Linked DNA regions of Drosophila melanogaster. The protein of the gene in region 1 interacts with the protein of each later gene in a pairwise test. Each region holds a gene or a part of one and is shown in the gene's direction. Other genes may lie near its edges. The genes, in order: CG2267 and CG31988.

Region 1 (4,331 bases):
AAGGAGTTTTCCTCCGCCAGTGTTTGTCTTTCTCGCTTTTTCTTGGCGCACTTTTAATTGCGCCCTGCATATGCATGAACCCAGTGGCAACTCAATTAAAGCCAAGCCTTTGAACTTCAGCCAGCGACTCTTGAACTTTCCTTCGAAATCAGCGAAAATCAATGCTCAACTAGCATCGATTGTTAGTAGACCGACCACAAAATGGGGATATAACGTAAAGAGTATGCTTGCAATCCGATATCACCCCTTTCCACTAGGGTTGTAAATCTAGCGGAAATTGTCAGGGCCAGCCAATCGTGCAACCGTTATTACCTGTTGACCTCCTTCCTTCGGACTCACTGCGTCCTGGCCACTTCGCTGAATTGCATTCCGCTTCCGTCTGGGTCACGGCTCATAATTCTTTAAATTTATGAAGTGTAACCGGATCGGAGTCTGGCTCTCTTTCAACAAAGTGCGGAATGGGATTTGGTCACAGGTTTCCAATGGGGTTAAGCTTTGCATAACAAACTTCAGTTTTGCACTGTAGGCAGTAACACTGATTTAGCGAATAAAAATTAGCATTGTTTCTACAAAAACAAAAAAAAAAGTAGTAGACGCAATATGGAATGGCATACCTCGCTGAAATCGTTACAAAATTTCCAATCGAATGGCATTCAAGCCTAGAAAAGTCAAAATTTTGCCATTTTTCCCAATTTTGATGATGGTACCCCTTAAAAAAAATGCGAAAAATTTGAAAAATATGAATTTTCCCATACCGACTAAAAATTGTTATGGCTAACAAGTTATGATAATTAGCTGCACAAAACAGTAGTTATTTTAGCTGTGCGACCAATTTAGAGCAAGCAAAGTCATTTTACATTGGTATTCCTCTCCCAGCCCAGCCCCCGAACCCCCTTCATCGAACCACCCACCCACCTTTCCTTTATTTCCAACCTCATCGCCATCTAGATCTCATCTTGTGTCACGTGACGACACTCACCTAATTTGAGAGCAGCTCTTAATCTGCACAATGAGATAAATACCTTTTGTGGTGCAGGCGGTTAGCCGCAGAGTGCCCCGCCTTAACCCACTTGTGCCCACGCCGTGTTCTCGTAATCCGTGGGCTGTTACCGTTACCGAGGCACTTGGCACGCTCCCGAATTGCCACTTGAGGCAAATTGCCTTGGAGCAAAACTTTCGAGACTTTGGCACGAACGGAACGACTCGGCGTTTATTACCTGTCGCTGGGAGCCAAGCGTTTACTTTCCTCCCCAAAAGGTCGCTTATCTGGAGCTGTTAATGTATTAATTTGAATTCTTTATGGGGAGCGGAGCTGCATATATTCCGGCCGGTCCGAAATATGTTTGACATGGCAAATTTAGTGGAAAATTGCCGCATGTCGCAAGTATGCAAGTGAAAATGCTACGTGACTCCGTTGCAAATAAAAAGTCAACCAGCCACTGGGGGAGACAAATTGGCCAGCTTCTGCAGCTTCGGTCTGAAATTTAAAAAACAAATCACACCTACAAGCGCCCAAGACAAATTTCCAGACGGTCCCACACACACGTATGTATGTACAGTGAGAGGACGAATGTCCTGCCGGTAATGGAGTGGACTTTATTTGGGCTCCTTGTTTGCCAGCTCCACGCTCGACTGCCCGTACCTTTTGTGGCACGCTCCGGCGACGAGCGGCGCATTTGTCAGACTCTTCGTCCGGATTGGGAGGCAAAAGTGCGGATGGGCAGTGCATGTGGTATGCACTCGGAGAAAACGGCACCAGCGGATTTAGAATTTTAAATCGAAGAATTTCATTTCAAGCTAGATATTTGTATGACAACAGAAACCTATCGATTCCCTGTGCGTGTAGAGTATTTTCCCCAGTGTAGTCTACCGACAGTGGTGTGTACGCTAGTACTCCTAGCAAACACACTCATTCTACAAATGTCAACCGTTGTTGGTTTAACTCACATGCCTTTCCAATTCCATTCCATTCCTTTAACCTACACATCACACAACAAATAAATTCCTGAACATAAAGATCATTTTTGATACCTGAAATTTCCACACGAAATTTCTACACGAAATTTTCTGAACATGGCCGGAGAAACAGAGCAGCTAACGTTGCTTAGTGAACTGAACAATATTGGAGGTGGCGAGTTCGAGTCGGGATACTGCCTGAATGAGAAACCTATTCTGCCGCCAGTGGTTGGTGATTATCTTTTGAGATAGCATATGAACTGTATTATATATCCCTAATAGATGACTGACTGGAAGAGACTGGAAATGATGCGACTGCGCTTGTGCGCCTTAACCAAGGAGGTGGTCCAGAAGAGGAACCAGATTACAAATCCTGAACGGAGGGATGCATCTACCAATACAAAATCGCAACAAGGATTTGGTTGTCCGGTCATAATGGGACGCTTCCGCCAGAGATTACAGCAATCGGAGACAATGATCTATGATCACACAGCCGAGATGACCATGCAGATTTCTGCTCCGCCTAGCATGCCAATTGGGATGACTTCTCAGCTGGTAATGGAGGATGCTTCTCTGACTCCGCCGCAAAGAGTTGTTGTCACGCTGACACCCGTGAAGTTGGCCACAGCAGAGAGTGTTTGGGTGACCAAGTTGGATCCACCGAAGGCGGAGAAACCCAAGCCAACGGAGAATGTCCTGGAACCACTTCATCGGAGCTCTACCAGTCCTGATCTTTCGAAGCTTCATCACCAACTGTGGCGAAGAGATCTGATGCAGATTCCCAAGTCACAGTTTACTTTGCCTATAAAATGTGAGCCACAAAGTGTACAAGGTATCGAGCAGCAGCAACCCAATAAGCTTACGACAATCAGGAGTCCCAGTCGAATCCCGAAACTGATTACCAGCCATGTGGCCAACAGTGCCAGTGTCACCAAAACCCAGAGTGCCTACCAGGCCCGACGCACCTATGACGCCAAAGTGGCTGCCAAGCGAAAAATTCTGGTGAGCAGGGGCCAGATTTCCTCAGTCAAACAGAAACCTCTGCCTGATACCAGCCACTTGAATGTGCCGAAAAGCATCAGGACTCCAGTGCCGGTCTATAAAAGACCAGGATATGTGCAGGACGAAGAGCAAATTCAAAAGAATCGCTTCAAGTCCTTGATTCTTCGCCAGGCGGAGGAAAACAGGCGTATCCAAGACAAAATGCAACAGGAGCACCAGGGTCTCATCGCTACCATGATGAACGATCTCAACAACGCCGTCGAGATCTCGAACGATTATAAGTCCTTGGAGAAGGCATTGCACCTGGACTCCAGCACCTCCAGCGATCCCAGCCAGAACTGATCAGACAATACAGAGATGCGCTTTCAAAATTGTTAAACGTTCACCCGGGAACGGAATAGGACGATAGCAGTGAATAAGAGGAACGGACGGCAAAACATAATACCCAATAATCCGCCACGAATTTTCCATTCGGTGGCCTCTTTAATTGGAATTGAAAATTCTTGATTGGAACATTTTGAATTGAAGCAGCAATCAAATCGACTTTTCAACTCGCGCAAGAACTGTATTTTCCCGTGGGGGTGCGACAAATCAGTTTGTATTGCAGTGTATATATTCAGAGGATTATCCAAAGTCCATAATGTTCTCCGCCTTTTCAATTTCAGCACTGTGTTGGAAAAAATTGTAATAATTATCTATTATCTGTATAGTTTCGTGTGTTATTTAATGGTCATCAAAGCGGCGTAATTTTATATAAGCTATTTAAATCGCATGTTCCAGTTTGGCATTGGCGAATTTTCCGAACGTGAGACGACAATCCGACTTGTGGCATAATCCGCGAGTCGGTCGGGCACCAAAAATATACAGCGTCTCTAATTGCGCCCAACGTCTGCGGTTGATGCCACACAAGTTGCACCGCAGTTTGTCCCACTCCCGGAGGTTTGGCCACCTGCCCGCGCTCGTCTCACATTGATGTCTCTATATGAAAGTCAGTCCCCCTGAGCCATTTCCCATTTTCCTGGCGAATTCGCTTGGCCCGTTTCACTTGGCGCGCCCATAACTCGGCGTGTTATTAAGTGTAAAAATTAAAATTTCATAAATTGTTATGCTTTATTTAGAGTGCGCCGAGCAGTTCCTCCGGCTCCCCAACTGCCAAGTTTCCTGTTCCACTGCAATGGCAATGTGTGTGGTTCTGTGTGATTTGCGCGCTTCGGAAGCTGGCGATATTGAGACTTAAGTGGACATAATTAAAAGCACTTAAGAGTCGCCACAGATACAGATCGCACCGACTGAGATATAGACGTGGTCCATGAGGATGAGTGAGGGCAGAATGGCGAAAATCGCATTGGATGACGGCCAAATTTGTCAGATAG
Region 2 (3,963 bases), on another chromosome or scaffold:
GAGAACGCTATACTCGATTTCCTCTTCTATCTGATTCCCTGCTAGAGTATTATTGCTCCCAAGATCTCAACGTTCAATCGGTCATAAAGACGGCGGTGTCCAGATCGATTCGTCTAGTGATCCTTATTACAAGTGTCGTTTCATAAATTATTTGTGCTTTAACACAATCCAAGGAACTGCCAAAATTATGCAGCTAATTTAAAAGCTATAACCGGAGTTGCCCAAATTACCCATTAACTCACGTATTGTTTATCTCCACAAAAGCAACATATTCTAGTCACAAAATCTTCTGACTACTAACGGCATTATGAACTAGGTGCCATTTTTGTGGATTTTTTCGGCTCATTCCTCTTTTGGCCTAATCTAATCTTGCGACTAATTAAATGTACTCACACGAATAAAACCACCCGAGTGCAGTTGAGAAACCCAAATAAATTATTGTGGGTCATGCAAGAGCGTTTGCAATTACGAGTTGGCTTGAAGGACATATTTATGTGGCCCCAAAGGAGCAACTCTTTGAACTTGTCCCACAAACGTGCCAAAATATAATGTTGCGCCACTCTGCGCAATTAGAAAGTGCGCGAACTGGATGCAATTATCGGTTAAACATGGGAAATTCTTAGTAGTACTCAATATAAATAATTACGAGCAGCTCAACCTATATTCGGGGCTGGGAATTTGGATCTGTATTTGGATGAGGATGTGGATGGCATACGAGCACTCTTTGGCATACGCAGACAGACGCCTGACACAAATTCCCATCCGACTTACACAACTAGCTCGCCCGTCCGACTGGTGCTGCAATTTCAAATTCCATGCACCGCATCAAAGCGCAAACCAAATTGTGACATGTCCTCCGCCGATGACTCCCGAGCGCCACCAGGAGCTCCACACCCCCACCCCCGTTGCGTAGCGACCGCACACATTGCTGTGCTCCACCGAGTGGCCTTCAATAGGGAACAAAAGATGTTCCACAGGCACACGAAAAAACTTATACTTAAGTTATACAATAGTTCAGGGTTTGTGGGTAATTACTCCACGATATATTATTCAATAATTCTCTAAATCATTTTGAATAAGTTAATACAGACCTACTCAGCTCACACTTTTAAAAAAACTCATACAGAAACACGAAAGTAGCTAAGACTGTATAGAATACTTTCAATTTTATTACACAAGTTACTCGTAGAGTAAAAGGGTATACTAGACTCGTTGAAAAGTATGTAACAGGCAGAAGGAAGCGTTTCCAACCTTACAAAGTATATATATTCTTGATCAAAATCAATAGTGGAGTCGATGTAGCCATGTCCGTCTGTACGTATGAACGTCGAGATCTCAGGAACTATAAATGATAGAAGGATGAGATTCAGCACACAGATTTAAGAGACAAGTTTTTGGCCCATGTTGCCACGCCCATTCTAACGCCTACATACCGCACAAAACTGTCACTCCCACACTTTTGAAAAACGTGTTGATATTTTTTCATTTTTTATATTTTTATTTTCTATCAATTTGCATAAAAACTTTTTGCCACGCCCACATTTTTGAGAAACCTTTCGATATAATATTTTCATATTTCGACTTGCCAAACAACTTGTTTCTCTTGTTTTTTTAATAATTGGATGTTTTAGTAATATTTCTTTCAGCGAATTCATTTTTTCGAAGTGCATGATCCACGATGAAAGAGGCAACGACGACCCTTCTGGCGAGTCGTTTGGGTGGATGAGTCCTTTAAAGGAGTAGCCACCACCCCAGCCCTTGTTAATTGCCGGCTATGCGGAAGTTTCGCAGGATTTTTGCTTTAATTAAATTTTGTATAATAAATTGGGAAACATTCTAGCAGCGCCTTCAAGGAAATGCCGCCCCTTTGCTTGGAGAAATCACCCTTGAAAGTGGAAGACCTCCCTTATTATTATCCTTTTACCCATTTATTAATGGTTTTTGGTGTGACTAATTCTTATACTCGAATATGTATAAGTGACTAAAGTATGTTTATAACTTTCGGTAAGGAGATAAAATTATGTTAAAGAAATCACAAGCATATTGCCATCTATTTAGGCAATTAACCTTTTGATACAAATTTAAACAGTAGTCACAGTAACATAGAAAGCCTAGAAAGGAAAATCAAATACTTTACAGTCCAGTAGGCGATGCTTGTACATTTTCTAGATGTCAAAACATACCCCCAGCGTTTCCATCGAATATCTCATTCAGTTTTTGAGTCTTGCTAAATTCATACGTTTTCATTCGTTTCGTTTTCTATAGTTATTTGAATAAAAACATCAAAATTTTTCAAAAAAAAAAAAAAACAGTATCAAAATTTTGTCCAAGTCCGTATTGCTTCTTTTTGTTCTCCCATTTTGTGTGAACCATCTAGAAGAAAGTAAAGTAAAAACGGTGGCCCTGTGAAAATTGTTTTGATATATGAGAAGAGTACGATAACGAATTCAGAAAAAAACATTGCGAAAAGAAAGAGGAAGTAGTGAAACAGGCGCCAAACCCAGTAAGAAATACATCCCATCTTGAAATTAGTACAGAATTATAATTTCTCTCATTGATATTTGCGTTGCCTATCCAGCTTTCATTGTTTCTTTCAATAAATCGATAATCAATAGCAACCCTGTTTTGTACATGCGTATTAACAAACACATTTTTTTTTTGCAGTTACCAATCGAGAAGCCAAAATGACTGAGAGCATTGTGTGTCACAAGTGCCAGGAGGCCATCACCAAGCGTATGATCACCGCCCTGGGCAAGACGTGGCACCCGGAGCACTTCCTGTGCCACCACTGCGATGAGCAGATCCTGGATGCCACCTTCAATGTTCAGAGCGGAGAACCAGTGTGCAACAAGTGCTTCGTGGAGCGGTACACCTACACCTGTGCCGGCTGCAAGAAGCCGATCCTTGAAAAAACCATCTGCGCCATGGGGGAGAGCTGGCACGAAGATTGCTTTTGCTGCGGCGGTGCCTGCAAAAAGCCGCTCGCCAATCAAACGTTCTATGAGCGCGACGGCAAGCCCTATTGCAAAAAGGATTACGAGGACCTCTTTGCTGCCAGGTGCGCCAAGTGCGAGAAGCCTATAACGGACTCAGCGGTGCTCGCCATGAACGTGAAGTGGCATCGCGATTGCTTCCGGTGCAACAAGTGCGAGAATCCTATAACCTCGCAGACTTTCACCATCGACGGGGACAAGCCCGTGTGCCCCGCCTGCAATTGCTAACATCGTCCCGGATAACCATGGTGCATCCTTGCTCTTCCTCCAAATTGTTCATTTGCTTGCTTACAATAATGTTGAAATAGTTCCCGAAGCTTAGTAAGCCTAGAGGCATGCAAGAAAACAGACTTACACATTTAACACACAAACTTAATACACACACAAACACTAAATAAAAATAAAAAACAAATATGTTAAGTCTCTGTATTGGGGTAGACAGGTATACCCTAAGATTTGCCTTAGTGGTGTTGGTCACCCAAAATAACATTCTGATTACTGTGAGATAAGGTCGAGCAAGCCCTTTCCAATATGTTGCAGCCTTTCGTTAAATAACAAGCTTTTGGCAGCACTTTAAATAATGAATTATTTAATTTTAAAAACAAAAATTGAAGAGCTTTAAAAAATCTTTCCGTTAAGATCGCAGTACAACTGCCTTATCGATTCTTCTCGATATGAAGTGGTGGCCGTCTCTTGGCGTAGTCACGAATCGGTTACGCAGATGTGTAATCTAGATAAATATGGAATTAATACAAAAAAATTAAGAACAAGATAGAATTTTACATACGAGTTCCCCGACTATCAGATAACGGTTACTCAGCTGGTGTGAATGCAAAAGCGAAATTTAATAATTTTTCTGGGATATCGATAGAAAAAAATGAGTAAAAATTGTTTAAAAATGTGGGCGTTACTGTTTTGGGAGTTTTTAAGGTGAAAGGAGTGGCGTGTCCACAGTGCTTTTGGTATACAT

What was found.
Region 2: the proteins of CG2267 (region 1) and CG31988 interact in a two-hybrid assay, tested with the Drosophila melanogaster proteins (one large-scale study listed by BioGRID).

What each region holds. Positions count from the first base shown.
Region 1 is NT_033777.3:30,626,574-30,630,904, reverse strand, and holds CG2267 (uncharacterized protein), read left to right. Parts: upstream 1-1,876; 5' UTR 1,877-2,073; coding exon 2,074-2,184; intron 2,185-2,238; coding exon 2,239-3,300; 3' UTR 3,301-3,664; downstream 3,665-4,331.
Region 2 is NT_033779.5:21,200,974-21,204,936, reverse strand, and holds CG31988 (uncharacterized protein), read left to right. Parts: upstream 1-2,134; 5' UTR 2,135-2,503; intron 2,504-2,664; 5' UTR 2,665-2,684; coding exon 2,685-3,221; 3' UTR 3,222-3,444; downstream 3,445-3,963.